4 linked regions of the Arabidopsis thaliana genome follow. The protein of the gene in region 4 interacts with the protein of the main gene of each other region in a pairwise test. Each region holds a gene or a part of one and is shown on either strand. Other genes may lie near its edges.

The links.
Region 1: the proteins of AT2G25890 (region 4) and AT3G62560 interact in a protein complementation assay, tested with the Arabidopsis thaliana proteins (one large-scale study listed by BioGRID).
Region 2: the proteins of AT2G25890 (region 4) and AT3G57220 interact in a protein complementation assay, tested with the Arabidopsis thaliana proteins (one large-scale study listed by BioGRID).
Region 3: the proteins of AT2G25890 (region 4) and RBL2 interact in a protein complementation assay, tested with the Arabidopsis thaliana proteins (one large-scale study listed by BioGRID).

The regions. Positions count from the first base shown.
Region 1 is NC_003074.8:23,134,085-23,142,357, reverse strand, and holds AT3G62560 (Ras-related small GTP-binding family protein), read right to left. Parts: upstream 5,073-8,273; 5' UTR 4,820-5,072; coding exon 4,691-4,819; intron 4,579-4,690; coding exon 4,447-4,578; intron 3,799-4,446; coding exon 3,478-3,798; 3' UTR 3,213-3,477; downstream 1-3,212. Other genes in the region: AT3G62550 (Adenine nucleotide alpha hydrolases-like superfamily protein), read right to left, coding at 5,284-5,371, 5,451-5,569, 5,795-5,904, 5,993-6,164; AT3G62540 (Pentatricopeptide repeat (PPR) superfamily protein), read left to right, coding at 7,045-8,273.
Region 2 is NC_003074.8:21,169,748-21,179,033, reverse strand, and holds AT3G57220 (Glycosyl transferase family 4 protein), read right to left. Parts: upstream 4,640-9,286; 5' UTR 4,519-4,639; coding exon 4,151-4,518; intron 3,928-4,150; coding exon 3,840-3,927; intron 3,716-3,839; coding exon 3,624-3,715; intron 3,545-3,623; coding exon 3,426-3,544; intron 3,343-3,425; coding exon 3,227-3,342; intron 3,119-3,226; coding exon 2,991-3,118; intron 2,884-2,990; coding exon 2,797-2,883; intron 2,683-2,796; coding exon 2,622-2,682; intron 2,537-2,621; coding exon 2,496-2,536; intron 2,410-2,495; coding exon 2,289-2,409; intron 2,190-2,288; coding exon 2,130-2,189; 3' UTR 1,840-2,129; downstream 1-1,839. Other genes in the region: AGL16 (AGAMOUS-like 16), read right to left, coding at 1,143-1,324; AT3G57210 (uncharacterized protein), read left to right, coding at 5,081-5,186, 5,302-5,672; AT3G57200 (glycosyltransferase-like protein), read right to left, coding at 6,931-7,173, 7,258-7,345, 7,427-7,473, 7,561-7,702, 7,905-8,092, 8,232-8,276, 8,360-8,494, 8,610-8,718 and 3 more.
Region 3 is NC_003070.9:23,406,222-23,414,599, forward strand, and holds RBL2 (RHOMBOID-like 2), read right to left. Parts: upstream 4,919-8,378; 5' UTR 4,505-4,918; coding exon 4,230-4,504; intron 3,691-4,229; coding exon 3,527-3,690; intron 3,414-3,526; coding exon 3,250-3,413; intron 3,184-3,249; coding exon 2,833-3,183; 3' UTR 2,583-2,832; downstream 1-2,582. Other genes in the region: AT1G63110 (GPI transamidase subunit PIG-U), read left to right, coding at 27-283, 449-505, 609-777, 883-940, 1,015-1,100, 1,195-1,251, 1,444-1,536; AT1G63130 (Tetratricopeptide repeat (TPR)-like superfamily protein), read left to right, coding at 6,633-8,378. UniProt on the Arabidopsis thaliana protein: Rhomboid-type serine protease that catalyzes intramembrane proteolysis. Can cleave the Drosophila proteins Spitz and Keren. May function in pollen elongation.
Region 4 is NC_003071.7:11,033,253-11,040,268, reverse strand, and holds AT2G25890 (Oleosin family protein), read right to left. Parts: upstream 2,967-7,016; 5' UTR 2,910-2,966; coding exon 2,385-2,909; 3' UTR 2,090-2,384; downstream 1-2,089. Other genes in the region: AUR2 (ataurora2), read left to right, coding at 3,259-3,471, 3,917-4,024, 4,115-4,261, 4,358-4,453, 4,535-4,630, 4,723-4,819, 4,908-5,025, 5,121-5,193 and 1 more; AT2G25870 (haloacid dehalogenase-like hydrolase family protein), read right to left, coding at 5,967-6,134, 6,247-6,435, 6,524-6,574, 6,660-6,779.

The sequences.
Region 1 (8,273 bases), on a different chromosome or scaffold from region 4:
CAATCTCGTCTAATAATAATATCTCTTCTATAATTACCCTTACTCATATTAGGTAACTCAATCATATCTTTTGTAATTACTCTTAACCTTATTAGATAGCCTCATAAGTCATTTATGTACACAATCTCTTCATGAATACTATACTTTTTCCTATATATATATATACTATCTTATCTCTTTTTCAATGAATGTAATCTGAATTACTATTTAGGAAAGGTTTTGGACAAATTTATTCTAGTTTTGGATTTGTAGATTTGATTTATTTATGTTTATTCACGCCTCAAATATGTATATATAATTGTTGAAATGAATTTTAGTATAGTGACATGTTTAAAATGGGACATTTTTTCCATAAAACTACGATTACGAAACTTTTAAATCAGCTGATTGAAATAGTAGACTTTGTAATTTATATACATCATTGTGATTTTGTCATATTCTGAAAATCGTCATAGTATGACGAATGATTGCATTATTCCCATCACCCATCTCTCGAGTAATCATGTTCAATTATTACTTACTATATACTTCGAGTTTTATTTTCTTCATCAGATTCTTTGGCTATTATTGTTTTGCCAAAAATGAAAATTTAGAATGGAGCCTATAATATTGATCATAATTAGATGTTGGCCATGCCAAGAATTTCTTAATGGTGCACGTTAAAAGCTTTTGATAAATTACACACGAGTATCAAGATATTCATGTTATGTGCTTCAATGATGAATATAATTACCTTTCCCCGATTTTATACCATTGTGAAATTACGTAATTAATTAATCGGGGCACGTCTTGTTATTAATGTTTCTTAGAAAACAGCATGCTATTGCAAATCATGTAGAATTTGTATGGTCTAAAATCAATGCAATGTCAACATGTATGTAGCAGAAGACATATGGTCCGTATGAAAACAATATGTAATGTCAAATAAATATCCAACTTTTTTCATAGGATTCTTAAAGAAAAAAAAAAACTATATAGCAAGGGATGGTAGCCTTTATGATTGGGAACTGAATATAACAGCAATAATAATAATGCAGCTCATAAAATGATTATATTATAGGTACAACTTCCTTCCACATTTTTGGACTTATAGGCAATGTATGTGTATTGGCTTCAATTTACAACATAGGTGTTAATCATTCAGAATATAATATCGATCTTTAACTATGTATTACAATTTTCTATTCTCCCTTGTATAAATAAAAAATGGGTAAAAAATACAGTTTTCCCTTGAAATCCTATATTTCCATGATAAATAAACGAATTTCTACAAAGCTATATGAACATTTTTTTACATCAATGATTCTCTATATTCTTACAAACCAAACTCTATTCATTTGTATATAAATATGAACTCTTGATTGAATTTTCGTATGAAATTGAACTAGTTGAGAATAGAGATAAGAGATGAGAACTGCTAGTATAATACAAATTAAAAGATAGAGTCGAGCATTAAATAGTTGATGATAGTGCACACCGTGCCATTGGTCGAGACAACTATGCCAGGATGGCTTGAGTTAACAAACTCTACAAAGACGACGATTACGTGTTAATTGTAGTTAACTAGTGTTGAGTTAAATATTTGGTTTAAAAGTGGGTCTACTTAAAAGGCAACTGTCCCCATTCTATAAACATGTTAGCATCTTAAGAGGCACACCATGACGGCGTATATATCATACACACAACATGTACATACATATTTATACGTAAATACCCTTCATATTTTCATATATACATACACATCAATATGTATACTTCGTCAAATCCCTTCTATCATATGGTATGTTTTAGTTCTAAATTTAATTTTGATAAGTTATATAGTATCTTGCAAAGTTATAGGAATGCATATAGTCCAACAGAAACCAAAAATTATTTGAAAAATCATAAAATATTAAGCTTTCTAGCTACAAGTGGACATCCAAAAATATTGTACATAACACTTTCACTATTGGGTGTTTCGACATTGCAACATGATTGCATTGTCTATGACTGGTGACTTTCACCGAGACATGGGTTTTATATAGAACCAAATAAGTGTCAAAGTTGGCGCAAGTTTTAAGATAGGAATCTATTATCAAATACTAATAATACTAGTTGTATGATTAACGTCGTTATTTAATTTGAAGTATTGAGTAAAAAAGAGAGAATATTGCGTTGGGCATCAAACCAATCATCTAGTTTTGCTCAAATGCATACGATAGAGACCTCTTTTGGATCCAAAAGCTTTGGGTTTTGAACTAAAAACTGAAACCAATCACATAAAAGTCAGATAGCTCAGAGGGAGGCACGTGTTCTTGGCTTAGATATCACGTGGGAATGAGGGATCCATGTGCATCCCTTTACCCCAAAAACCAAGTTAATACTTCTTCTAAATTTATTTTTCTCTTCTCCACGCAATCAATCGAATGAGTTTTAATATTTTGACATTTTTTTATATATAAAAAAAACTTTTCTCATTCAAGCAAAAAACTTAAATCAAATTATTCATTTGGTCACATTTTCGTGCTTGGTATTTCATGGGTCCTGGGACATAGAACCAGTCTCTAGCTAGTGGCGAATATAAAAAAGAAACAGCATAGTAAAAAGAAGAGCAAAAACTGTAACAAGGAATCAATCCAAAGGAGAAAAAATTAATAACAAATGATAGAAATAATACGTTAAAAAAAAACTTTTGATATTAACTTTGGGCCACGTAGAGAAGAATCAGTCCAAAGGAGAAATGTTCTGAAAAAGTTATAAAAAGAGAAAGTGAGCACCTAATAGTTTTCTTACACATCCATATTTGCATAGTCCGTAGACATATATATGCTTGAGCTGCAAAATCTTGAGTCGCAAAATCTAATCTATTAGCCTTATTACGCTGCGACTTGAACGTTTGGAAGCGGCTGAGATCAAAGACGCATTGTGATGGTGCTAAAAAGCAAATTTTTTTACTTATTTTGTGAACTATTTTGGAGTATTATTGTTCACATATTTTAATGAAAATAAATACATGGTTATCCATAGATCTGTTTGTGTTCATTTCACAATACCTAGAAAGAAGAAAAACAGACATAATGATAAGTTCACAAAGAGACATAACACATGTAAAACAATATACGTACACTCATTATGGTACATCTATGTGTCAAATTGATTGGTTTTCAGTGTAGGACATTGTGATTGTTAATTGTCAAACTCGATTCACATGGGGTTTTCTCTACATTACATTATTAAAGTAAAAGTGTTCATCTTTCGAATTTTCATAAAAAAGCTAAGATACAGCCATTTCTTAAGCCCCACACAGTTACACAGTCACAGACAAATGGGTTCACACTTTTCATAGGATTCAACTTTGGTCTGTAAACACAAAATTGATAATTTAAAAGCCGTCAAATCTTGTTGTATACACACATTAATCGTAATTATACATTAGGTTATAACACGTACAGATACCAATCACACAGTATAGATAGATAAGACTTAAATATGATTGATCTAGTCGATATATTGAGAAACCCATTTAAATCCTTCGCCGTAACCCATCTTTCTGACAATGCTGCACATGAACACCTCAAGAGGACGAACATTTGTTCCTGCTAGATTCACTTTACCTTTCCCAGTGGTGAAACTGGTGAGGCCTAGATGATAACGCAGCTCGTCTTCTGATGCAGCGTACGGAATGTCGATTTTGTTTCCAAGGATGAGGAAAGGGACATTTGCTAGGGATTCATCAGAGAGAAGAGCGTCAAGCTCTTTCTTTGATTCTGCAAACCTCTCTTTGTCATATGCATCAACTAGGTATACCACTGCATCAACCTAATACGAGACAATAATAAAGTTACAAACTTGAAGATAGAATGCAAAGAGGGTAGCTAATAGAAACACCGGAGTCTATTAATCTCTTGATTCACTGGAATCATCAGCTATGAGAATGTAAATCACAAGGGACCTCATGACTCTAAAACTGACAGTAAGAGTAGTCTATAGCTATACAATCTTCTAATTTTCAACCTCCACTGGCTCCACATACCAATCACAATGTCATTTTAAACTACAGTATATGATGTATATGTATATCTATCATCTGAAGATTTTACTATAGCTCAATCATTTCAAACTATCATCTGCAAACTTATATAACCCAACGGAGCAACACAGTGGCTAAGGAACAGAGTAGGAGTAGTACACAGCAAGAGCTTACTAGGTACACATAACCAGCAGAATGTAATCACAGGACCTCATGCTGCAACATTCAAAAGAGAATTGCTATATGACAAACTTCATTGAAGATTTCACTTCACCTCTATCATCTAACTATTGTTTATATGGGCACAGGGAAGATTGTAATCTATAACAGAGTCAGCTTAGAGTCTACATACAACTATACGAGCGCAATAGTCCTTCCAAAGACTTGCTAAATTGATTGACCTAACAATAAAATCCAAAGAAGAAAGAAGATCAAACCTTAGCGTAATAGTCCTTCCAGACTCTACGAGCAATCTGATGACCTCCCAAATCGAAGGCTTTGAACTTGATTTTGCCGATACTAAGCTCTTCCGATGTCGGATGCTGTGTCGGCTGATGCTGGACCAGTCTCTGAAACCCAAATCAAACGATTATCGCTGATTAAGACTTTGATTCGTTCGCGCTAAGTAAAAGAAACAAGATTCTAGACAGCGATTACTGATATGGCTCGAAGAAAACGAACCTCGTCCTTTAACATGTGAAGCAAGGTGGTTTTGCCGGCGTTGTCGAGACCTAGAAACAGAATCTTCGCTTCTTTCTGCCATAGTCCCAGAGTTGCCAGAACTCCATAGAACCAATCCACCAGGAACATCGCTTCTTCTTCTTCTTCTTCTTCTTCTTCTCTCTCGCGAGATTGAAGATTTTCACGAAGCTTCGAACACGGAAACGGCGACGTTTAAGTATGACTGTGTCGACTGGATGAGTAACAGATATACTTTGGGCCTTGAGGCCTTTATTGAACTTTGAAGCGAACAACAATTAAGTGTTCAAACAACAAAATTGCAAATATTCAAAACTTGGTATATGGTTCATTACATTCTTCTATACGTTAAATTGAAATTTGCGTTTACATTAGTTTTTAATTTGGCATTGTATGTAGAGAATGTAGATTTGAATTTAATTGGTTGATTGATGTCATTGTCAGCTAGTTTTATATAAGCAAAAATATCTGCTAAATTTGTTTAAACCGTTATGTATTTTATTATCGCATACGAAGATTGATTCAAGTGTTACACCAGTTCTTTCGAAACATATACACAATGCAATCATATGAGCTTAATTATCTTGAGCTTGCTTCTTGACGATAACCACAGGACACTTGACTCGTTTGGCGCAATACTCGCTCACACTCCCTAGCAAAGCCCTATCAAATATATCAAATGATTATCAAATAACCATTAAACCAAAATATTTTTGTTTCTTATAAGAGATTGAAACCTTACCTTTTGAAGAAGCCATAGTCATGAGTGCCCATTACTAACATATCAACTCTAAGTTTCTGAACTGCGTTGCATATAACTTCCTTAGCATCTCCTCTTCCAACTCGTCTCTCTATATTAATCTGCACATTAATTTGGTTATATTTACATTTATTTCGCCAACTCTCTTTGAAAACAACCATATTTTGCTTATCATATGTTATATTTTTTGTACTAAATATTGCTCATGATAAACAGATTAACTCATAACTACTTGATTAAATTCACTTTCTCATAATTTCTCAAGTTTTTTAAGCAAGTATAATCCAGCAAATTAAGTGATAAAAAATCGATAGAAATAAGCTTACATCAGACTCATAATCTTGGTACACGGTTCGAGACCGAGCCATGACCGATTCCACGAGCTCGTATTCATACTTCTTCAAAGCTGCAACCGGGTCTCCTGTCACTATAAACCCTGGAAATCGACCAAACAAAAATCTATAACTAAAGTGAACAGATTATAATTAGGGAAAGATATGAATCGTGAAAGAACGAGGACTAACCTGCGGCATCGAGGGAAGAGTAAACGGGAAGAGGGGGCTTGACGTAGAGGAGGATGAGTGTATTATTGGAACCATATGGAAAAAGATTGTCAAGACTCCATGACAGAGCTTCCATGCTCTCTTCGCTTTCGTCTACTGCTACTACTATCTTTCTCTCCTTTGTTTCCTCCATTTCTTTACCTTTCTAAAAAAAAAAACTGTTTTCTTTTGCTTTCAATTATTAGAGAAGAAATATATTATGAAGAAGACCTGATGGAAGAAGAGATTATGATTGTGTTACTATTTATACAATTAGCTAGGCAAAACCCACTTGATTTCTCATTTTGGAATTAAGTGTTTTCATTTAGATATTTGCAGACACTATCCTTTGTGTAATTTTTACATTAGATAAGATATAAACCCACATAGGATTGATTGATAACCAAATACAGAAAACTATCGTTTTTCTTTCAGGGGTGACTCTTATCTACAATATGCGATATTTTTATGTAGATAATTCATGATTTTTTATAGAATTATTTCATGCTTCTGAACTACTATGTTATTATAGATTTTAGGTGAATCAATATTTATGAACTTAATCTGGAATCTGATTTTCCTCATATATCCCTTAGTTTTATATACATCCCGCAGGGTTATTGATGATTGATGTTACACTGATTGACTGATCTTGATTTTCAGTTATGTAATATCCATAAACACGTATACAAAGACAACGTGAACTAAGAGAAATGTAAGATAGAATCAAATAAATCTAAAAATAAATTGGTCCCCTAAGAAAAACTTGAGAAAATATCACGACCCTAAAACGAAGATAAGATGCATACAGATACCTTCCAACTAAAAAATAAAAATTCTTTATGCGTTTGAGCTTTAATGCTCCTGGTGGACCCAATGGTTATATGTGACCAGATCAATGGGCCTTTAATGGGTCAAAATTATTATCACTCAAAGCTTCTAATCAAACAAAGGCCCAAATACGTGAAGAGCTCTCCGCCGTAAATCAGTGGCTTTTCACCGACTTCGCCATTGCTAATCGCCGTCGAGCTTCCATGGCTGCTGCTCCATGGCTCTATCTCTCTAGGAGAAGAAGCTCCACTCAGACTTCATTAAGAAGATTCCTCATTTGCTCTTCTTCATTCGATGCCGATGAATTCATTTCCAGTCAAAGCCGCGTAATCGGCGGGAGAGGAGAAGAGGAAGTACGATTTTCCGGTGCTCTCTTCTCTCGTATGATTCATTCTTCTACTTATCATCCTTACCGTCAAATTCCATTGCCACACTCCTCTGTACAACTGCTTGATGCGAGTCTTGGGTGTAGAGGTTTCTCTAGTGGTAGTTCTAATGTTAGTGATGGATGTGATGAAGAAGTTGAATCTGAATGCGATAATGATGAAGAAACTGGGGTCAGTTGTGTTGAATCAAGTACTAATCCGGAAGAAGTAGAGAGAGTCTGCAAAGTGATTGATGAATTGTTTGCGTTAGATAGAAATATGGAAGCTGTTCTTGATGAAATGAAACTAGATTTATCACATGATCTCATCGTTGAGGTTTTAGAACGTTTTCGACATGCTAGGAAGCCTGCATTTAGGTTCTTCTGTTGGGCTGCAGAGAGACAAGGATTTGCTCATGCTTCAAGAACATATAACTCCATGATGAGTATTTTAGCAAAGACTAGACAGTTCGAGACGATGGTTTCGGTACTCGAAGAGATGGGTACGAAAGGTCTATTGACGATGGAGACATTCACTATCGCGATGAAAGCTTTCGCTGCTGCGAAAGAGAGGAAGAAAGCTGTTGGTATCTTTGAGTTGATGAAGAAGTACAAGTTTAAGATTGGTGTTGAAACCATTAATTGCTTGCTTGATAGTCTTGGCAGGGCTAAGCTTGGAAAAGAAGCTCAGGTTCTGTTTGATAAGCTGAAGGAGAGGTTTACACCTAATATGATGACTTACACTGTTCTACTCAATGGTTGGTGCAGGGTGAGGAACTTGATAGAAGCAGCTAGAATCTGGAATGATATGATTGATCACGGATTGAAACCTGACATTGTAGCTCACAACGTAATGCTTGAAGGGTTGTTGAGGAGTATGAAAAAATCAGATGCGATCAAATTGTTCCATGTTATGAAATCCAAGGGACCTTGCCCTAATGTCCGTAGCTATACCATCATGATCCGGGACTTCTGCAAACAGTCGAGCATGGAAACTGCCATTGAGTACTTTGATGACATGGTTGATTCCGGGTTGCAACCTGATGCTGCGGTTTACACGTGTCTGAT
Region 2 (9,286 bases), on a different chromosome or scaffold from region 4:
GCAACATCCACTGCAACATTTATCCTTACATCTTTCAGTGTCAAATTTTCTTACTTAAATAGATTTAGTTAACCCTAAGCCATCTCTGTCTACATGGAACAGGATTCTCAGCACCCCAACTACAGATTCGCAATAAATCTAACATAATGTATGAAGTTTAAGCAGAGAATGAGAGAAGCCAGACAAAATTGATGTAAATAGAGCCAACTCTAATCAGTAAACAGTATAGATATCTTGCTGTCTTTATTGAAGAGAAAAAAAGAAAAAAACAGAGTCTCAGTTCAAAAAACAGAGAAACAACAAAAGCTCTGCAGAACAATGGAAGCTTTCTCCCTCTGAAACAGATCTAAGAGCCAGATTTTATTCAACCTTTTTTAATAAACAATTATGTAAACACGAAAGATACAATCAAATAAAGAAATGAATGAACTCCTAAAGTAGAAATTCAGAAAGGATTGAAGATATAATATTTTTCTAACAAATCGCAAAATGTTCCCAAAAAGAAAGACTATACTCCTACATATCATTAACAAATGACCAAGTTGAAGAATTAAAAAAACAAAAACTTGATTATGGATGACAACGAAATCAGAAATGATTCCCCCACTTGTGTACTAACAATATATATTAAGAGAAGATAATGCAGCTCATTTTAGGTACATCAAACCCACCAACTAGTTGCCAATAAAGTAAATGAACAGTGAAAAGGAGACGATTCTTTCTAAATCCTCTCTAGAGTTTAGAGTTTTCTTCAACCACTAACCACTTTCTCCCCTCCTTTCCTCTTCTGATAAAGTTTCTACCAAATTTAGTATGTTTCAATAAACACCACAAGTCCCTCACAATCTATGTTCCACACAAATATCGTAATCATCTCCAACAACACAGAGAACACACTCTCATATTCCCCTTACAAAACATATTATCATTCAAACCAAGTGATTTCTTCTGCAAATTATCAGACTAAGTTGATCTACGATTCCTTCTCTAAAGCAATTGAATTTGCAAACAATTAACAAGAAATCGACTTAAGAAAGAAAAAAAAAAATCGAGATTTAGAATTTGCTACATCAATCAATCAACCAATTAGATGGACCAAGACCCAAAAAAAAAGTCAACCAAAGAGAAAAGAAAAAAGGTACCTGGAGCTGGAGAAATCGTAGAGCCTACCGGTGCTGGAGAAGATGATGACACCAACCTCAGCATCGCAGAGAATCGCAAGCTCCTTAGCTTTCTTCAACAATCCATTCCTTCGCTTCGAGAACGTAACCTGACGGCTCGTAGAGTTATTGATCCTCTTAATCGCGATCTTGCCCCTTCCCATTTCTGCTTCTATCACTTTTACACACAAACATCATCGTCAATTTCAAATCATCATCTCCTGAATCCAGGGGAGATTTTGAATAAAATAAAAAAATTGAACATTTACCTTTTTCAAAGAATAAACTAGATCGCGGGAAACGAGATCTGGTAATCCGATAACCGGAAGGGGGAGAAGAGAAATTGGTTCAGTTCAGAGATGTGGTTTTGTTGATCGAAAGAGAAAAAGGAAAGAGAAAGAGAAAGAGAAGAGAGAGCCACATAAGGAAAGAACATATGACAATTTGGGATATTTAGGGCAAAAGAGTTTTCTTACTATATAAACATACTTCGCTTGTTATGTTTTGACACATGGCATTCTATAAGTGGGTTTCTTTTCCGATTCTCCTTCTATTTTTTTATTACATTCTTTATTATTCTAGTACGACAGTAGTCTGTCTAATATTAAAAGCGCATTTTTAAAATTCAAAAATATATGTAAATGGACACTTCATTTAATGCATGCTATATTAGCAAAACTTTAATCTAAAAATTATTTAGTTTATTAATCAAAGTTATCAAAATAAGATCAGCATTTGTAGTTAAATTTAAATTCCAAGACAAATTTGTTCTGATTCATTTCATTGGCTTTATATTGTTGAGATACACTCGCCTTTAGATGAAAACTCTCTATATAAGTGAACTAAAACGATGATTCTAGTAGATTGTTGGACATGAAGCAAAACAAGTTCTGTGTTTGTATGATTTGTGAAGGCAGAGAGAGAGATGAAAAGAGGAACAGGTTTAGAGTTTCTTCATGTTGCAGAGATTTATTTGTACCAACCAGCTAGAAAATGCCTAAGCATGAAACAAAATGCGCAAGCAAGAGCCTGCAATAGAACACACAAAACACCAATCTTGTGATTTCTCTCTCTCAGAATAAACCAACTTGTATTTAGAGATGATAATATGGGCATTAACAAGTTTACCTGGAAAACAAGAAGATGAATACATAGAGACTTTTCTGTTTTCCTACCAAAAATCCTCAAGTAGACGTTCACGAGTGTCCCATCTTTTGTTCCTGTTAACAGTCCCGTAGCAGGATCATACCTGGTTTAAAAAAGAGAGAGGAAGAGTCATGTGTTGTTTACTTGTTGGCTTTGCCTCTTATGAAAAATGGACAAAAAATAGCTTACTTGGGGAGACGATGTCGTGGACATTTGACAATGCCAGCAAGCTGAAGAGTTATACAATAGCAAGTTAGATGCTTTCAAATGTATTGAAAAGTAACAGAAAGTGTGAGATGGAGAAAGGTATCAAACCTGCGGAAGTGACAGTAAAAAGTTCAACACTTGAGGAAGAAAAAAGATTAACAGGGTTTCACTGCAAAAAGCAAAGTTTCATAAGTAGTTAGTTAATTGAAGGCTCACACATAAGTTAAATGTAAATGATGAATCTAAGTACATTGCAATAAGGACGGTATGGTTAGAAGTATACCTGAAGTGACCGAGAATGCCAACAACTGCCATAGTCATTCCAGCAAAGACTGTGTAAGTGTCTCCAACAAAAACTGCAGAAGGGTACCTAACATCACCAAAGAGGGGACATGAACGTGGTTAGAGAAAGCATTCTGCTTTGCTAGTTTACCTGATTGATTTAAGAGAAAATGACTTGAAAGATCCAAAGATTACCAATTGTAGGCAAGCATTGCCAAGGATGTTGCCATCAATGGCTGAGTAAGATAGATTGAGAAGGCATGAGCTTGATGATACTCAGTATCAACAGATGCTCCGATTTGCATAACGTTGTGTATCAGAATCTACAAGTTACTGAGATTTATCATAACTTTACTTACGAGAAACCAACAGAAGGAAAAATGGGACCAAAAAAATGAAGCATTGCGACGCATTTTGACAGCAGAACTTACAGCAGCTGCAATAACTACGGTTTGACCGATTTCAAGGCCATTCAAACCAGCGTGAATGTTAATAGAATTTGTGCAAAAGACAGCCAGTAGCGCCATATATAACTTATATATACGTCCTGCCACGATAAATATACAACTAAGGAAATGAATTTCAAAATAGCTATTGATGGTTTAACACTATATACAAGATGAATTGTACCTAGATCAAACACTTCCAAGCCAATATAAGAAACTAAAGGTTTCGGTATGACGATAGTTGTATGTCCAGCATAAGCCATCAACAGTGGAAGGGTTGCAAAAGATGGCAAGAGAAGTTTCCTGCAAATTGACAAGAGTTAATAAGAAAACAAAACTAAATCATGAATTTTTAATCCAACAAAATGAGAACTGCACCTACACTCTCCAAGGCACATCAAGGACGTCATCTACAAATCCAAGCAATATCATGAAGCAAATAGACGCCAGTGCTGCATTATACTCCACAAGCCACTGCACCGAGTCATTTAGCCAGATTGATAAATTGCATTCAAAGTAAATGAGCCAAGAGCTACCAAGTTCATAGTTCACAATAAATAAATGATCAAGCTTGAGCTTTTGAGACCAGGACACTTACCACCGAATCTTCAGTGAAATTAAAGAACTGAAATACAATCGCCACTATCAAGAAGACAATACCGACAACAATTCCCAATGACTCAGGCCTACAAAGAAATAAGATTGCTGAAAATAAGCACATCAAAAGACTTTAAGTCCCCTGAGATCAAATCAAGCGTAAACATCCATAGAACATCAATCAGAAAATGAGACATCTCATAGTTTTCCTCCTATACAAAAAATCAAATCTAAGAGACATCCATTTCTAGAAAAACGCTGAACACTAATCTGAGAACTAAACAAAGACAAATCTAAGAAGGAAAAACATACACTCTAACTTCTCCTTGAGGAGTGCCTCTTTTGTTGATATCAAAACCAAACATATTACGCCTCAGAACGTATCTAGCAGCTACAGGAATCAACTTGAGTGTGACAAAGAATCCAACCAAGCTAAGCCCAGCGTTAATGAGGATCGGACGCTTGAGCTCATTGTCAACATTGTAGTGGAAACAGAGAAGGTAAAGATAAAGCGAACACAGAAGCGAAGAGATCACGAAAATCACGCCCAATTTCGGCGGCGCGAGCTGGAAATCCTCTCCGGAAACAGAGGTCTTCTGAACCGTCGGGGAAGATGCAGGTTCAGGTAGAGCTAGTTTCTCCGAATTGGACACTGAAGGAGTTCTCTTACGAGCAGTCATGGCGGATCCGTTGGCTATTTCTGGTTCCCCGCCTCTGGATTTGCTTCTTCCACTTTTCGCTGAAGCTTCAAAGCCTGTAGCATTTAATTACAACTTGCCCACGCACAACAATACGACATCGTATCAACACCACTTATTTATGAATTATCAAAAAGGCCCAAAAAAGCAAAGTATAAAGAAATAAATAAGTCTATGGGATTCATGTGAAATTAGGCAAATTACTAATATCTTTTTTTTTTATATAATCAAAGACTCATAATGTAAGAAAGAAGTTAACAAGATTACTATTAAGAATGCATCCCATAGACTTATTTAACTTCTTTGATTATCATCTCTCTTTGTGAAATTAATTAGGCAATTACTAACTATACTATCTTTTTTTTAATCAAAGTGTAAGACTCTTGTCTTCCTTTCTTCTCTTTCTTTATCCACTCTTGCTCTTCTTTTTATTCAAATTTCGTTTTTGATTTATCAGGGGACAAACTTAAAGCTCTCTCACGTTAAGAGATACAACAGGACTCTGGCTGCTGGTGCTTGCTGTTTCTACATTACTTTGGTTGCAATGCAGCCATCTAGTGGAAGGCGTTTTACTTTTCAGACTTCCGTTTATGAAGAAGCTTGTGGCCGGCTTGTTTTGACCTCCTTTATTGCTGAAAGACGTCGTCCAGGTAATTAAATTATTATTATACTACATGTGACTCCTTACTTGGGTAGGCGTGTTCATTAACACATCATTATTATTATTACAACAACTAGTATTTCATTCATCATTGTATATTTTAGGGACAATCATTAAAACGTCGTTGGAAAGAGAATTCTACCGCATGGGTAGCTTGCCTGAGTTCCCGCTGGAGAACCCTTTCGAAAACAGAAACCGATTTTACGTGGTGGATGATGAATCAGAGCTGCGAGCCAATGACTGGATTCGTCTGTATCTGGAACTTTCTGTTGCCATATCTGATAGGACCACCACGGATCATGATCTTTCCGGCTTGAGGATTGTGTCAGTAGCCATTCAAACTATGGAGCCACCCAGTGAGTCCTCTCTCACTGCTAAGAATGCAACTGTCTACATAAGGTACATTGACTTTTGTAAGGCTCGCTGTGGTCAGAACCTTGATCGCATAGCTGTAGTTAGAAGAAACCTTCAATGAGACTACGGGATGCTTTAGTCTCGACGGTTGGAATCAAAGCTCAGATATCATACCCAAAAAGAAGGCTACGAGTAGCAAACTTCTGTCCCAGCGTTTAATTCACAAATCACGGCAGATATGGCGGCGGCGGCGCACAAACCATGGCGTTGGCTTGGCTCATCGTCTTCGCAAAACAAGATCCATAGAATCAGCCATCCGAAAGTATACCCAAAAAGGGTACGAGTCTGAGCGTGAAACTTCTCTTACGGCGTTTCAGCATTCCCAAACCATGGCGGATATCTAAACTTTGACGGCGCAAGGCTTACAAAAACCATGGCGGTTCAAAATTTGGATTAGAGATGATATTATTAAACTTATTAATTTGGTAAAATGTTAAGTGGACTGGTTTCTGTGTGTTGTACGGTTTCCTAAATGTCTCCACCTTGAATAGTTTCTGTATGTAATAAGAATTTATTTTAGATTTCAGAGTTATGTATCACATGAAAAAGGCACAAACTATAAAGTATTTAAGAATATGACCATCTTTTTCTTTTGTATCAAAGTGTAAGAAAGATTTTAACAAGAAAAGTTTAAACAATGCAGTAACTACTAAATCATACGTCCAACATGTATAAGTTCTTTTAAGTTGTTCTTATTGGTTGTTATGGTCCACAACCTTATCAGTACTTGTCAATGCCTGGTTGCTACTAATTTGACTTAAGTACTCTCTTCTAAATTATTGCTCATGTTCTCAGTCTGAAACATTAAGTTTCTGTAAGGTTTAAGTCAACATGAAGCTGTTTGTGACATCAGCTGAGTGACTCATAAGAAGCTAAAGATGTTGAGAAACCAAACTTCACATTTCAGGAAAACCATAAATCTGAAGAATGGAAGGTAGAGAGATAATTTGATACTTGATGACAGGAGTTCTGGAAACGTAATTGCAGAACCTTCCTAATTGATAAGGACCTAGCAAAACAGAGCGAGAGGAAAGAAAAACCACAAGTGTGTAATGCTGAGGATCAATCATGTACATATGAAGATAAAGGAGCACAAAAGAAGACTAGTAGTCCGATCTGGAAGACAATGATTTTGTATTCCAAGTTATAGAATCATCAAGTATGATACAACCCCTGCTATATGACATTCCTCTTCACCTGTAGAATCATCTGTGTGTATAACCTAAACGAAAACTTTCCTAAATGTACACCAGAGCTCAGGTTCAAAACTGTTCATAAATCATTCTAAAAAATCCCACCCTTTGTAAACACGTTTCATATTATAGTTCCATCTGGGTTGCTTCCAAGCCTGGAGGCGATTGTGGTGGTACCGCTGATGCTTGGGATTCACCGTCAACATCAAGATGGAATTCCAACACCCTCCTCTTACCAGTTTCCTGAGATGATTCTCGGGTAATGCCTGATGTCGAATCAGCAGTTGAAGAGTTCTTCGAAGGAGACTTGTGAGCTGCGATTACCACAGAGCTAAAAACACCCGCTTCTCTTAGCTCTTGGATTATAACCTGTAAGAGATGATAGCTTGTGGAAAACCAAACACTGATCGTTCATGTCAAATAAAGAGCGTGGTTTGAGTTTGTGGAACTAACCATGGGAGCATAAATGCGGGTTAGAATTCCCTTCCTAAGGAGTTTCAACTTCAATTTTTCATCAGTCCACACAACATGCTCTCTGTACCTGTATTAGTGAAGCTGGTTAGATTGCAGCAGTTGAAAATGGGATGAAGAGCAGTGATTATATTTAAATCTATATTAATACCATTGCAGCATTTCCTCTGAACTCGCTGTTGAAGCAATAATAAATGCCTACATGTGATAGCCAAGAGCTGTGACTATATATTTCGGAAAACGATGCAGGAAATATAAAGCAAAAAACTATAAATCTCCACTCACAGCTCTGTCAAACTCTAGCATGAAACATCTCTTGACATCCACTTTAGTGGGCTTACAGCCACAACGATCACGTCTTGAAGTAAGATCTGAAAATCTGGGATAAGTATAGTGCAGCACGGCAGCTTCTTCAAGTTTGACCTCACTGTAGAAAAGATGCCATGAATCAGCCACAAAATAGTTAGCACCTTAAAACAATTGTAAGTGACAGCCTTAGGCTCGTCCATGTCCCACTATAAGCTTCTATTGAATAAACCGCAGTAGAATCTAACATATTATATACAGAGGGAAGCAATGCCAGATACAAAGAGTCAAATGATAGACAATTTAACGAGAAAAGAGCATACTTTGGACTCTTTCTGTAGTTGTGCCATCGATGAGCACCATTGGGACGAAGATGGTCCTGAACACGGGCAGCAGCTTTCCCATTTCCATAGGTTAAGAAATAGTTTGGATTTCCACGAGTGGCATCTTTATAGTTTCCAAAGTAGACATCTCTCAGAAGATGGTCAAAATTCTTCTTGAACATTGATACCTACAATAAAATGAATGTGCAACAAATAGAGTAGTTTTTAGATCTATAAAGATAGCAATGTACCTATGGTGGGTAAACAAACAATCATGTGAACAATTTCTCATGTTGGCAAAATAGCTTCAGATGATAAATTTTATACCTCACTGAAAGGTTCCCTGATATCATCTCTCTCAACGCTGCTCTCCTGAAAAACAGACAATGCTGATGAAGCCAGAAGAAGTTTTTTCGCAAGATAAAAAATGAAATCCAAACAACTGTAAGACTCACATAATTTGGAAAGATAACTACATCCACGTCTGCAGAAATATTTCCCAGCAACTTGCGTAAAGAATATTCATGGGTTCCAGAAGGATGTATAAGCTCATCAGTGTCAAGATGAATGATCCATTCCATACCAGCGTCCTAAATACACCGCATAAAATGGCGTGAGAGTCTGAGAGACCGTTGGCTTTTTTACATTATCTAGTGCTATTACCACAAACCATATTCAACAAATATGGTAAAAAGTAAGAGATACCTGAGCCATGGTGATTGCCATTTCCATGTTCAAGGACTGTTTCACGAATAATTCATAGTTACACGGTTTGTAGAAGAAGCTCGACAGCCAAGTCTCATTCCATATCCGGCTGTTGAAAAAATCACGTTAGTGGATTTATAGATCTAAAAGTAAAGGAACAAAATCCCAAGTTTCATAAGTGACACAATGAAATCACAGCAGATCCATTACCAATATCCACAAAGATGCAGACCAGAGAAATACCTTTTAGCCTGTTTTTCTTCTAATTCCTTTGTCCTGTAAATAACTTTTACACCCTGCAAAACAGAACGTATTAGCAGTAAGAAAATACTAAGTCAGAAAAACAAATAAAGGGATCATTCATAAGCTCCAGAGCTTACAGGGATGGTCTCCAAAACTCGAGACACATTTGGAGATGCAGCCTTCCCCTCAACAAATAGATAAAATGTTGAAACTCCAATAACTTTGTGAAAGTAAATCCATGGCAATGTTTGCTCTAAGCCAGCAGAAGTGCTTGTTGTAATGCATATCTACCATTTTTGCACAAAGTCACAATCTTTTCATAATCAAAGTACCAAGGATCAACGATATATGGAAATCAGAAGATATGAACACGCTTAGATCAAATTAAATCAGGAAAACCCAAAATTGAATCACAAGGGCTTACCCTGGGTTTC
Region 3 (8,378 bases), on a different chromosome or scaffold from region 4:
TCTAACTGCTCGTGCATTTCCCACAGATAATCTTTCTATTGGGATATGGTTTGGATGCTCCTCCTATAAAATTGTTCCTTCAGACCAGAAGTGTAGAAAATGAGGAGAGTTCAACCTCTACTGTTTCTAAACAAGCCAAGTTGAAACAGACTACGCACCTTCCTTTCTTATGGAAAACAGTCGCACACTTCTTGTTCTGGGTACTTCTGTGGTCACTCTATGTGTTGATTTTATGTGCCTTATCACTGAATAAATATGGTGGGCTTGAGGAGATGTTCAAGAGGTAGCCTCTAACTTAGAAATCTTATTCATAACCGCTATAGGATTAGTTTCCGTTAGCCATATTATATCTATAACTTATATTCCAAATCATATAATTATTTATTAAGAACTTGCAACGTAGTGTTTAGGCGATTTGATGTTTGTTTGTCTTTGCCTCCTATTGTAGGACGTATGGTTTCATTCTTAGTATTGAAGATCTTTCACCAAACATTGGAGTCTTTTGGTAAGTAAAATAAATTAATATGGTGATATCATTGGGTGATGAATAAGGGATCCCTTCTTTTATGAAAAGACTATTTACTGTTCGTTTTAAATCTCGTTTTCAGGTACTTCTTTGCAGAAGTATTCGACTTCTTCAGAAACTTTTTTCTGATAGTTTTACACGTAAATATTCTGTTCATGTTACTGCCCTTAGCCATAAGGTTGAAACATCGGCCATGTTTCCTGGCTTTCATATACTTAGCGATCTCCTCGATTCTTAAATCTTATCCTTCAGTAAGTAGTTGAATTCACTGTGAACTTGAAGTTATCTTTTCTTCTTTGAGGAATTATATTCATAAATGTTAACAATGCTTTCATCATTTGATTTACTCTCAATAGGTCGGAGATTCGGCGTTATACTTGAGCTTATGGGCATTGTTTGTCAATGAGTTATTAGGTAAAAGCAAATACTTCACATCCTCTTAGCATTGTTTAGCCTTTGCATATAAACTCTGCTTCTGTTTCACATAGATATGAAGTTCTCGTTCTTCCTCTTCTGTGGATATCTCGGGATCTCTCTCCTCAGCCCTGTGATGCACAATCTCTGGATATGGCGGGTAAGCTTCTACTCAAATCCATAACCCAACTCTTCACAGCAGTTGCAACAAAATGTTCTAATGATCACAACTACCTTTGATTTTTTCATGACAGGGAACCGGAAATGCAAATTTCTACTTTGGAAACGCTATCGGCTACGCGTGCTTTCAGGTAAAATATAGGCCTGGATCCATTTCAAAATTCATTATTCTATTCAGTAGTTGGGAGTTGATACTCATATAGTACAAAATTTGATGATATCAAGCAGAGGATGATGAGATCATCAGTTATTGATCAAAGAATGTTGTAGTTTTGGGTTATCTTGACTAAAACCCGCATACGGGTTTCTGCTTTTCTTTACAGATCGTTTTCGTGGTTGAGAGCGTAAGCGCAATGCTAAACCATGACAGGGCGCTGAAGAGATCAAACTCAAACCATCGAGAAGTCAAGAGCTAAGCCATTGAAGGTCATTGCGCCACTTTTCTGTTACACGTAAAGAAAAGAGTTGGGTCTTTAGCTTAAAGTTGGCAACATGTGATTTGTGTGAGTAGCTTTTCTTTGTTTGAGAACATCATATAAATAACAAATCTCCTGTGCCTTTCCGTTTAGAGTAACCATTAATTTGTACTTTTTACCGAGAGGTTTTAAAGTTCTTGTTTTGATCCGCAAAGCACACAATCATCCCTATATTTGAAGTTACATCGCATGTATACAAGGTATTATCATTTGTGAATGGTGGATGATTAAAGGCATTGTCTATGTCCCGTACTTTATCCTTATCCACTGCACCATTAAGGCCTAAATGACACAGTGCAGGAAGGTTATTGGGTGGTGTTTGGTCATTGTTTTCTTAAAAGTCACCCATTCACAATAAATGAAGTGTGATGCATTATTAATTTATTTGTAATATCATAAAAACTTGTAAAACCCACGTGGTACCAAAAACAAAAATCAGACCCTAACCGTATAACTGTATTTCACACTGTTGAAAATATATGTTCAATTCGATCTTGTGACATCTGAAATCTCCTAAAAATTATGCATATATTGCATGAAGCTGATGTATGCATGATTGCATATCTTGGTATTATATATTGTATTGATGGCGTGTGGTGATGGAATTTCATGGCGTTTGGTGATGGAATGCGGTTGTGTATCGGAGCTGACTTCAGCAAAGTTCAAACTTCAAACTGCAGTTTTCCTTCATAGCTCAGTCACAAAATACAGTTTGAAACTACTCCTTTTTCATCTGTTAAGTTAAGACAACTAATGGTTCTTGATTTTGTAATTTTGTTTCTTGGATTTCATCAGATGGGAAGAAACTAGTGGAGGAAATATACTTCGAACTCCTGGATTGCAATTTCCAAATGGCTATCATGTTAAACTCAAGAAGAAAGAGATCTAGAGAAAGAAGAATTTGAAGCAAAGGAAGAATAATAATCTACAAGACCTAAGATGGATACTATAAAGTGTGTACTATAACCAAATTAAAGGAATTTATTTCCAATTACAGCTTATGTTTTACATTAATAAAATTGTTTACTATTTATGTACTTAAAGACAGTTTGAGAAATATGGTGTTCAAATGTAAAAATAATACACTCTTTTATTTCTATCCCCTTTTACACAAGACGAATTTGGTAATGTACACATATATAAATAATCAAAGGCTAGAGAGATCAAAGAGATTAAATGTTAACAAGAACACATATAAAAGCTTTTACTATATGATTATGATGATGATGATGATGATTAGCAGGTCCATTTAGAAGTTGGGAAACAGCTAAGGTAATGACACCATTTGCAATGTTTGTTCCCATTCTCTCCTTTGAAAAGCATCACTAATGCAACCGTTAGCCCAACCACAAGTAGCACCACTGAAACTACAAACAGCACGTACTGGTACATGCTATACTTTCGTTTGGTTCGCGAAGTGTTGGTGCGGGAAGCTTCCCAACCGTACTGAGGTCGGACAAGGAGGACAAACCCGAGGCAGAATCCGGTTAAAAACCCTCCAATGTGTGCAAAGTTGTCAACCCGAGGAAGCATGCCTAATGCTAAGTTGATTGCGATGATGAACAGAAGTGTGATCAGAGCAGCCGCCTGCCAAAAGAAGCCGTTAATCCTAAGTTCCGGTTAAGGCGCGTATAGCGAAAAGGGCATAAGTACCTTGTTGGCATAGATAGTCCAATTGGTAAGAAGTTCAGATAACATTGCTCCAAGAAGTCCAAAGAGAGCACCCGAAGCACCAACAGAGATACTTTCTTGAAGGAAAAGCGACGAAAGTATGCTTCCACCGAGACCCGATATTAAGTATATCAACCCGACTCTTACTGCACAGTAACATTCCCGCGATAAAGATCAAATGTTTCACTTGGCGATTAAACAAAGAGAGTCTAAAACTTGACTGAACAATAATTCTTGTACACGTAAAGGTAAGACTTACTGAAGCCAAATTGCTGCTCAAGGCGGATACCAATGAAGATCAAACTCAACATGTTTGTAAGAAGATGAATGATACCAGCGTGAAGCCACATACAAGAGAGAAGTCTCCATCCTTGATGTTCATGTACTACTTTCCTCCATTCCAATGCTCCCATTTTCTCCAATCTGATACAAGTACATATCCGAGTAAAACCAAATCAATCACAAACACCATCACTACAATAATTGCCAATGAAATTTACAAATCATAATTCCAAACCAAGCTAAATACATAATTCCAGGAGAAAAATAAAAACTTTGAGAAACCCTACAAGTTTGAGCTCATGTTCCAAGCCACTAACAGACAATAAAGATCAAATTCAATTGCCAAGTTGAAAACACAAAAATTGAGACTTTTTCAGTTTGTTGAAAACAAAAAAAATTGAGACGTTTTAGGTACCCAAAAGATCAAACTTGTTTGCCAGTAACTTAGATTAACAAATTCTAGAATCTCGAGCTTCAACTACAAATTCATTGACGTTATCAGTAAGGCACTAATTGGGTAATCTTAATTACTGCAGAAAAATGAAAACTTTGAGCTCAATTTCCATAAGAACAGACAATAGTGATCAAATTCAATTGCGAATTGGACTCCCAAAAAGTTTGAGACTTTGGAGATACCCAGAAGATGAAACATGAATCTCCAACTTTAAAGTAATACTTACGTTGAAGAAGAAGGACCAAAGAGAGGATTCTCTTTAAGTGGTTGAAACGAGAATCTTCCGAGGAATCTAGCAACACACTCTTTGTTAGGTCCGGTGATTTTCTTAGGACAATCATTAACGAACATAACAGCGATAAAGACAGCGAGATTTGCCACTACAATCGCCGGAATCAGCCATGAAGTCCAATGAGTTTCACCAGAAGACTCCTCGTAGAAATAATTGTTATTAGCTCCTCTGTTTTTCTTCCCTACTCTCTCCACATCTCTGTTCGCCATTACTCTGTTTCTCTCTCTCTCTCTCTCTGTCTATGTGGTTGTTATATAAAATCGAAACTTGGATTAAACGGATCAAATACGAAATTCAGGAGAAGTAGCTTACAAGAAATAAAGGATTAGAAGAAAGAAGAGATTGAGACAGAGTATCAGTAATCAGAGAGAGATTTAGGGTAAAAACTACAAAGTTGTAACCATTAAAATAAAATAAAAACGCTTTTTCACGAATTTAAACCGTTGAATTGATGTTGAAAAGTTAGTGCATCTAATTATTTATGGAATTCTATTAATTATGTTCTTAATCTTTATCGATGTGTGTAGAATAACAAAAAGTAAAGAAGAGTTTTTGGTGTTGTGTCAATGGCGAGTTAGGCGGTGGTGCCAGCTCCTCCTCTCCTAGGTTTTAGTACAAGTTTCTTTTCTGAGTGCAAAAAACAACTCAGACCTGCGACAAGATTACAAAATATATAACTTGAAAACAACAAAAAAACAAGGTATTTTGTTAAAGTAAAAAGAGAAGATAAAACATATACTCCTTTTATTTTTTCTTAATTGAATTTTTTACAAAAAGGGTTTTATTTTTTTATTTTTTTTTATACAAAAAAGTGTTTTTAAAAGATGGATTTCTAGATTTTTTTGCAATATTAATTAGATATTATTGATGAATATCAAATTTCAAGATAAATAATTAAATATTATTGATTTTTAATTATAAAAAAATATAAAACACAAAAAATAATATATTCATAATTAATTTTAATAATATTTTCTTAAGATATGTATTTTTTTAGAAAATTAATTATTAAAAAAGAGAGAAAATATAAGCTAGTACTATTTGTAGTACGTGTTATTTTGTTTTAATTATAGCATGGTATTTATAAGTTAAACTTTTTTTTCTCTAGCATGAAGACTTTTTTTTTCTGACGAAAAACTATATATAGCAAAAGGTTCTACGGTCTCGATATTTAACTATTTATAAGATTTAATAAGTTGCCAAGGGCTTCTTTAGAATAGTCGACTTTTACATTGTGGAACAAACTATTGAATCCAACAAAGACTAACTCTATAATCTCACTAACAATCGCTTGGATATTATTGTCGATCTCCAAGGAATTTATCATCAGGCCTTAAATGGACTTCGTTGCAGCATATTTCAATGGTGTATAAATTTTTGTAGCCTTGTAGGTATTGGTAGAGTTCGAGAACTTTGAGGATTGAAGGGAAGATATTATATGATCCACCCGAAATTTTTTCGTAAAAGGTTTAATATTCCTTGACGTTTGAAACCATATCAATGAAATTAATAAATAAAATATTAGAATAAACTTCAAAGATGGTTATAATTAACCATAATTTATCACTAAGGAGTATATGAAAGCCATGTGTCCAAACCAAACTCGTGTTTAATGTTCTAAACCAATTGTATGTACTTTCACATTCATTTATCAATAAGACTTTTGCAGAGGTATGAATACTTGTCCAAGTCCGTATAATGGGAGAAATGTTTGGGAGGTGATACAAATAGATGTGTATATTTTGCAAAATGAATGCATACTTTGGTTTTGTTGACATATGATTAGAAAAAATGATAATGACCAAACTTGTATTGTATCATTGTATCATATACAAGTGGAACCAAACAGATATAGATCTTTACAATCCAAGATATAAATTGGTAAGGTCCACGCGGTTTCACCTTAATTAGAAAGGGACATCTCAGCAATAAAAAAAAAAATGAAGGAAATATAGTTAGACAAATATGGAACCAAAATAGCAAAACTTGATAATCTTCTTTGTTTTTTTCATATTTATTTGCTAATGCTGGCCTTTCAATTTAGAACTAAACCAAAAAAAAATACATTATGTGATTATAAACCAAACCGGTGATAAAAATGATAAGATGAAATCTTGACCGGTCAAATGATCCAACGGTGGTGCGAAACTGGATGAATATCACTCTCACTCTCTCAGCCTATGTGAGTCTCTCTCTCTGTTTGGTTTGGTAGAACCAAAAGTTCAAACCTTTACTCTCTCTGTCTGCAAAAGGTTCATCATTTAGGGTTTATACAAGTTTACAGAGAGTTTACGATTCTGAATCAGTGATTTTGGAAGAAACCCCAATCAGCTGAAGATGAGGAGATTGTTTGCGATTTCATCGACGGGAAACAGATTTGTTCATCGGAGTCTTCTCGGAAAAGGTAAATGTGGAACTGCTCCTCCTTCCTTTAGCCATTGCAGTTTCTGGGTACGAGATTTCTCTGGTGTTAGATATGATTACAGAAAAATATCGATAAATAGGCTAAATGATTTGAAGCTAGATGATGCGGTTAATCTGTTCGGTGACATGGTCAAGTCTCGTCCTTTCCCTTCGATTGTTGAGTTCAGTAAACTGTTGAGTGCCATTGCTAAGATGAACAAGTTCGATCTTGTCATCTCTCTCGGCGAGCAGATGCAAAATTTGGGAATTTCACATAATCTTTACACATACAGTATTCTCATCAACTGTTTCTGCCGACGCTCTCAGCTCTCTCTTGCTTTAGCTGTTCTTGCCAAGATGATGAAACTCGGCTATGAGCCCGATATTGTCACGCTTAACTCTCTGCTCAATGGTTTCTGTCACGGGAATAGGATTTCAGATGCCGTATCTCTTGTTGGTCAGATGGTGGAAATGGGATATCAGCCCGATTCATTCACATTCAACACTCTAATTCATGGACTTTTTCGCCACAACAGAGCTTCAGAAGCAGTGGCTTTAGTTGACCGGATGGTTGTGAAAGGTTGTCAACCAGATCTGGTTACTTATGGTATTGTAGTAAATGGATTATGTAAGAGAGGTGATATTGATTTGGCTTTGAGTTTGTTAAAGAAGATGGAACAAGGGAAAATAGAGCCTGGTGTTGTGATCTACAACACTATCATTGATGCTCTTTGCAACTACAAAAACGTGAATGATGCACTCAATCTGTTCACTGAAATGGATAACAAAGGAATTAGACCAAATGTTGTTACCTACAACTCCCTCATAAGATGCCTTTGTAATTACGGAAGATGGAGTGATGCTTCTCGACTACTCAGTGATATGATTGAGAGGAAAATCAATCCAAATGTAGTCACTTTCAGCGCATTGATTGATGCATTTGTGAAGGAGGGGAAGCTTGTAGAGGCTGAGAAATTGTACGACGAGATGATCAAAAGGTCTATAGATCCTGATATTTTCACTTATAGTTCACTGATCAATGGGTTTTGTATGCACGATCGTTTAGACGAGGCCAAGCACATGTTTGAGTTGATGATTAGCAAGGACTGTTTCCCAAACGTAGTGACTTACAATACTCTTATAAAGGGATTTTGTAAGGCTAAGAGAGTAGACGAAGGTATGGAACTCTTCCGCGAGATGTCTCAAAGAGGATTGGTTGGCAACACAGTCACTTACACCACTCTTATCCATGGATTTTTTCAAGCTAGAGAGTGTGATAATGCCCAAATAGTTTTCAAACAGATGGTTTCTGATGGTGTGCTTCCCGATATTATGACATACAGCATTTTATTAGATGGGCTTTGTAATAATGGGAAGGTAGAGACAGCATTGGTGGTGTTTGAGTATCTGCAAAGGAGTAAAATGGAACCTGATATTTACACATATAATATTATGATTGAAGGGATGTGCAAGGCAGGGAAGGTGGAAGATGGGTGGGATCTATTTTGTAGCCTCAGCCTTAAAGGAGTGAAGCCTAATGTTGTAACCTACACAACAATGATGTCAGGATTTTGTAGGAAAGGTTTAAAGGAAGAAGCAGATGCCTTGTTTAGAGAAATGAAAGAAGAAGGGCCTCTTCCAGATAGTGGTACATATAATACGCTTATCAGGGCACATCTG
Region 4 (7,016 bases):
TAAATTTCGAACATTAATTTTAACTTTTGGCTCTCCAGCTGATGGGAGTAAATTGACATGCTCCAAAGAAAGAAACACAAGTCACCTAGTGATTTTCAAGAAAATGTGCTTCCTTCAAAATATCCGAGGTCTAAGATGAAATAGTTTTAAAAATTGTTATGCGGGGCATATATTATTAGAGTGTTGTGCACTTGTAACCTTCCAGAAAATAAGCAATTTGGACGATATTTTAAGGTTTGGTCCATGTTCCAGTATCGTGTTAGGGTCCACTGCTTCGAGATCTACTTGATTGATACTCTTCCATTTGTTTTCTAATTGTTTGATGCAAAGGTTATCCATTAAGGGAAACTTATCTATATCACGTGGAATACTCACTGCAAAAGATTCGCAATATTAGACTTATAATTGTCACTAATCAGACCATTAAACAAATATCAAATTGATTAATATGTTGAATTTAATAATCCAATTTGACCTCTTTCAGATAGGGCTTTGGGGACAAATCTTCTTAAATCGCACCAAACTTTTATTATAAGATAATTTTTGGTTCGTGGCTATTAAATTAAGCCTGAAAATTTAAACATATGTTTCACTTACAAGCGTCAAGTATGGATAAACAATGATTAATCATAAGCTATCATAATGACAAAAAGAAGTATGATCGTTATCAGTTCTCTTATGCATAAACTATTGATAAAATTATAATAGTCACGAGATGATTGATCGAGCACGATAACTATTATAATAGTCACGAGAGAATGATGTGAAAGTTTAAGAATGCGTCTAAACCAACAATAAAATAATTTAAATAGTTATAATTGAATACACATTCTATATTAGTAAACATTCAAATTATTTAAAATATCTACGAGACACAATAGCCTCCCAACAACCATTCGTACATTCACTTTCTCATTAGAAAGAAAACGTATCCTAATTTGTTGTTTTCTCTATGAATGTTAATATCATCTAATAAGTCCATATAGACTATATCTAATAAATCCATATAGACTATTGTCTCTGAATATCAATGGATTTGAATCTTTGGCCAAAAAATTAAACAAAGAGACAAATGATGTAGAAGTCACATTACATAGTGGGAGTTAAAATTAACCAGAGTTTGCATTAGGTTGCAATAACGCTTGCATTTACGTCTTGCGGTGCTTACGTTCTGAATCTCTTTGTCGATGAGCTTGAAGATAGTTGATATTGGGATCGAGACTTGGTTGTGAACCACATCATTCCTTTGCTTCCACATATATCCTAACATTTATCTAAACAATCTGGTGCTAGAAGAAAGAGATTATCAAACTGATGCAATGACAAACTACGAAACACCACTCCATAACAAAAAAACTTAACCGTATATCGATCCTCAACTTTAGGAATAATCCTAACGCCGCACCCACCCGGCACCTGGCACCCACCACTTGAAAAATTCATAGCTCATGGCCAGTAGGGAACCGCGGAGGAAACTTACTCAGTCCATTGCGAGGATAAGGACAAAAGTACTCCTTCAATTATTCTAGAAAACCAATCAGACGTTGACAAAGAACCTCGTTTGAAAGTACAACTGCTCTACAAGACTGCATTGCCCACTACAAGCAGTGAATGTTGTCCACCCTCAGCTTCTTTATACGTTCGTGAAGCATGCATGTGCATTTTGTTGGTGCGCGCATAGTAAGCCATGCCATGCAATTCAATGCCAATGGTTTACGAACATATAGACAAGTAAAGTTTTCAATTATTTCATGAGTACCTAAAAACCACATTCATAGAACAGTTTGCAAGTATTCGAAATTTGGGAAAACATGCATACGACCTCACCGCATCTCTCAAAGGCCGAATACAATTTTTGAGGAATGATTAAACAAAGAAATATTTTTACAATCACACTAACTACAATACGTTCATGAAGACAACGTAAATGACACGAGCCATTTAGCGCAGCCTTCGAAATTTATTTAGCGAGTATAGATAAAGTGGTTCAAGCCTTGGTATTGATACACAAAATTCACAAACCTTGCAATTTTCTTTTTGAACATAAAAACAACAATATTATTTCAAATCAAACGGACCACACTCAAAACTACATTTACATATACCAAGAAAGCCACCATATAATTCTAGAAGCCAGACGGTGACCAAGTAATTGGCATTTATTAATTTACTTAATTCGTTATCATCTTTCCTTACACTAGCTATTTCACAATCATAAAACAGAAAATACCGATCAGCAATTAAACACACAAAAAATTGTATGGAAAATAGAAAATAAAATTTTAGATAGATCTTTTCAAAAAGGTAAGAACAGTATTAAAAAAACATACGTAGGATAATCATAAAACTTAATACAACATATAGATCCATATAATTATTAAACTCTAATGAGTAGTTGTTGTGGTTTGGTGTGTTTGTTGTGGCTGCGAGTGCGTATAATGTCCCAACTCTTTGGCTTTCTCCGCTATCCTCATCCTCGCGTAATCCACCTTATCCGCTCCCATCGGGTGTTTTCCGGTAACGTACTTATAAATCCACGTTAACGCCGTAGCTGCTGCCACCCCACAACCACCGGAGAATAGGAATCCCATCGTCAAAAGCCCTATCGTTATCACTGCCGGTACCAACACCGGGCTGAACAGAACCATCAACGGCGTCGCTACGATCAAACCGATCACCGTTCCGGTTAGTGTTAGTCCTGAGAGCACGAGGAGTGATAGGCCGATCGTAGCTGCCGTTACGAATCTCACTATCTGCCGAGTCGATGGTGATGATTCATGGAGACTCCTCATTATTGGTTGTTGTTGTTGCTGATGTTGTTGATGATCCGCCATTTCTTTTTTTCTTTTTCTAAGAGAGTATGGATTTAATGTTCTATGTTGTTTTTGTAGCTTTAATAAGCTTACCATTTGTGATTATTATGAAGAATGAAAATAGACTAGTATGAAGGAGAGGCTAAACTTAAACGAGACATGTGTCGAACGACGAGGCGTGTTAGGCAATGGAGAAGAGTGTCACGCGGGCGTGTCAGTTCTGCATGGAGCTACTTTGACGAGGTACTGACACGTGGTTACTTAGTTCCGAATTAAAATCTCATCGTCAAACGATCTTGAAGCTTATTGGGCTATTATCTGGGCTTGTAGTGACTGTATATTATCCTAGTGATTATGAAGTTGGAATACCGTGGGCTTAATAATATCTGGGCCTGTAGCGACTGTATCATCTCGGGAGACAAATTATTTGAAAATAAAAACCTCGATGCAGATGTATCAACACGTGGCAGCATCTGGATTCGACCGTTGCTGCTTTGCTGGTGGTTTACGTTTTTTCCCCTTTTTAAATTTCTCAATTTGGATCTGTTCCCTTTGTGAAAATTACTCTCTCTTCTCTCTTTCTTTCTTCTCTTTCTCTCGCTATCTTGGCTCATCAACGATCTCTTCCATGGGGATTTCTACAGAGACGCAGCAAATTGTAAGAAAATAACTTGTTCTTGGTTTCACAAATTCCAATTTCATTTGGTTCTTTTGTCGAATTTGTTTCAATTTAGGGTTTTACTTCCTTGTTGGTTTGCGTTTTTTCTCTGCGTTTGGTCTGTTCTAATGGAATGTGATCTGGGATTATCGATTTGGTTGCTTGATTTTCTTTGCGCCAGAAAGAATCTTGTTTCAATGTTCTCTGTTTAATTTGAGAAAGACTTGTTGGTATGATTTTGAGAAATTTCATGATATGATTGTGGATTTATTCGTTTACAGCGAGGACCCTAGATTAATTGACAAATCCGTGGATTAGTGTTAAGGAGCTGTTGATTTTATCCTTTTATCTTCAAGTTTTAAAGTATCAATGATTGTTTGTCGTTTATGATTAAGTGTATCTGAGAGTTGATTGGATTTCAATCTTTGTGATAATGTTGTATCAGGCGGCTTCAGAGGCTGCACAAAAGAGATGGACTACAAGCGATTTCGATATCGGAAAGCCACTTGGTAGAGGAAAGTTTGGCCATGTTTATCTAGCAAGAGAGAAACGGGTTAGTGTTTCTTCACAATTATGTTAAACAAGCAGAATTAATTTGATGTCTTTTTTAACCAAGCTGTCTTCTATGTGTCTTTGCAAACAGAGCGATCACATTGTGGCTTTAAAGGTTCTTTTTAAGGCTCAGCTTCAACAATCTCAAGTTGAACACCAGTTACGAAGGGAAGTAGAGATTCAATCTCATCTTCGGCATCCCAATATTCTGCGGCTCTACGGTTACTTCTATGATCAGGTTTTGTGTTATCTGTGCTTGTAAAAGAACTTCTTGTTGACATACAATGTTTGGCTCTGTGAGGTTAACATAGTTTTTGGGATACCGTTGTTGCAGAAAAGAGTTTATTTGATTTTGGAGTATGCTGTAAGGGGTGAGCTTTATAAAGAGCTTCAGAAGTGCAAGTACTTCAGCGAACGTCGAGCAGCAACTGTAAGTCCTAGTGATAATTGAACTTATTCTAGCATGTTAATGTGAATCTGTGTAGTCATACCCTTACGTTTATTGTGGCAGTATGTTGCGTCATTGGCTAGAGCCCTCATCTATTGCCATGGAAAGCATGTAATTCACAGAGATATAAAACCTGAAAATCTGTTGATTGGTGCTCAGGTAACAAATTGAATCTGGTTATCTTTCTCCATCAACGCCATGTGATTGCAGTTAGCTTATGTGTTTATGTATTCATGGATATATGTTTTCAGGGTGAGCTCAAGATTGCAGATTTTGGATGGTCAGTACACACATTCAACCGTAGAAGGACTATGTGTGGCACTTTGGATTACCTTCCACCTGAGATGGGTAAGAGAAAGCTCTCTCTCTCTTGTGTGATTCTAAATTACTTTCTTCGGCAACCAGCTAATTGACTTTTCTGCTTTTGGATTCACAGTGGAAAGCGTTGAACATGATGCGAGTGTCGATATATGGAGTCTAGGAATTCTCTGCTACGAATTTCTTTATGGTGTTCCTCCTTTTGAGGCCAGGGAGCATTCAGAGACATACAAAAGGTAACATGTTCATTAAGCGTAGAATGGGATTAGTATATGATGTTTGGTCAGTGGAATGTACATTAAAGAAGGGTTTTGTTCGACAAATGATACAGGATTGTTCAAGTGGATCTCAAGTTCCCTCCCAAACCCATTGTGTCATCATCTGCAAAGGACCTGATTAGCCAGGTTTCTACTCGCATTCCTCGTAAATCTCTCTAAGTGTTTGTGCATTTGAAGAGTGAATTCTGATTTTCACACTTTCTGATCAAACAGATGTTGGTTAAGGAGTCTACGCAACGTTTGGCCTTGCACAAGCTTCTTGAACACCCGTGGATTGTGCAAAACGCAGACCCATCAGGCCTTTACAGAGGATGAAGCGATGAAGCTAGGAAAAGATTTAAGATTGCATTCTTGGCACTTTGCACCACTTACTGCAAAAAGTCTGACCATTTCATAGTTCTATATATGTAATTGCTGTGTTCCAAAAGTATTTGTACTACATTTTTCTACGAAGTTTATATAGCCACAAGATTCGTGTAACTTTACTCCAATTATTTTCGAATCCTACATCACTTTTTAAATAAAAATTGTTCGGAATGGTTTCAAACTTACAACAGCTTTTGTTCATCGGTAACTTATTCACCAATTGATTGGTTAACGTTAACTGATGTTACTGCAGGTAACCAAATGAGATGGATTTGTTCACAAGAGATCCGGAACATTTTTTATGTTGTAAGATGCAAAGGTGCAAAGGCAAACGAATGAAAGATTAACCGAACATGAACAAAACAACAAGAGACGCACTCTGCAATCAATCATTTTCCTTCAAAAGGTGGGTGAATGAGACAAGAATGACCAATGTTTGTCTTTTATCTGTAAGACAAAGAAGAAGAATAATGCCTACTTAACCTCAAAAATTTAATTTGGTGTATCTTGTACTTAAATATGGTGGTGGAGTCTCAGAATGCGTAGCGGTAGATGGCATCAGCAACACCATCTTGGTCGTTGCTCACACCAATCACATCAGCCACCGCCTTTGTTTTTTCTGCACCGTTGCTCAGAGCAACTCCCAACGAGGCCAGTTGCAGCATCTCTATGTCATTTTCTCCATCTCCAATCGCCATTATCTGATAAGAAAATCCGGGTTGCTTCATCAACTATCTTATTTTTTGTTTGACTTCTATACTTATGCCTACTTGAGTTTCTTTACAACGCCGTCAAAAGATGCTAGATTATTACCTCATCCGGTGAAACGCCCAAATGATTGAGTAGCATTTTTACACCATTCCCTTTGGAGGTTCCGGGTGGGACGATTTCTAGCATGTCTGATTGAGCTTGAACAACATTAGCACGGTCTCCTGTAGCTTCTGACCAATACGGACGGATAACAGATGAGACTCCCTCGGTTGTGTCCATAAATATCACTTTCTTCGGATACACAAGAGAACCAAACATCAGTACTTTGGCTTATACATATGTAAGAAAGTAAGATATAAGTTCTGACTCCGGGAATTACCTGAATGTCAGCTTCAGCTATCAGTTGATCAACCGATGATATAATTTCGGCCTGTTAAAAATCATGGAGAGATTAGCAAGAAGCTGTCAAAAATCATAACTAGATGGGGAGAGAGCGTGCAGTTTCATTAACCTACCTTTGGCTCATTGTAGATTGTGTGAAGAGAGTCGACAAGAGGGTGGTCAAACAATGTCAAGCAGCGATCCTGGCTGAATGCAATGAGAGGAATTCGATGCTCCAAAGAATAAAGACAGGTCTGTATATAACAAATCAACATTTTAGTAAGTATAAGATAGGATTCCTAGAACTCAGTTATTCAATCACGATACACAGGGATAATAAGTTGAGCACTATCATAGGTACTTAGGTAGCTTTTTGCTGCTTAACATGGTAGAGAATTACATGATGCAAAGAGACTGGGTTCCAGAATTCTAATGCATGGTTTGTGAACTAAGCCGAGGATGTGAGAATTAATTCTGTGAGTCGTTGTAGT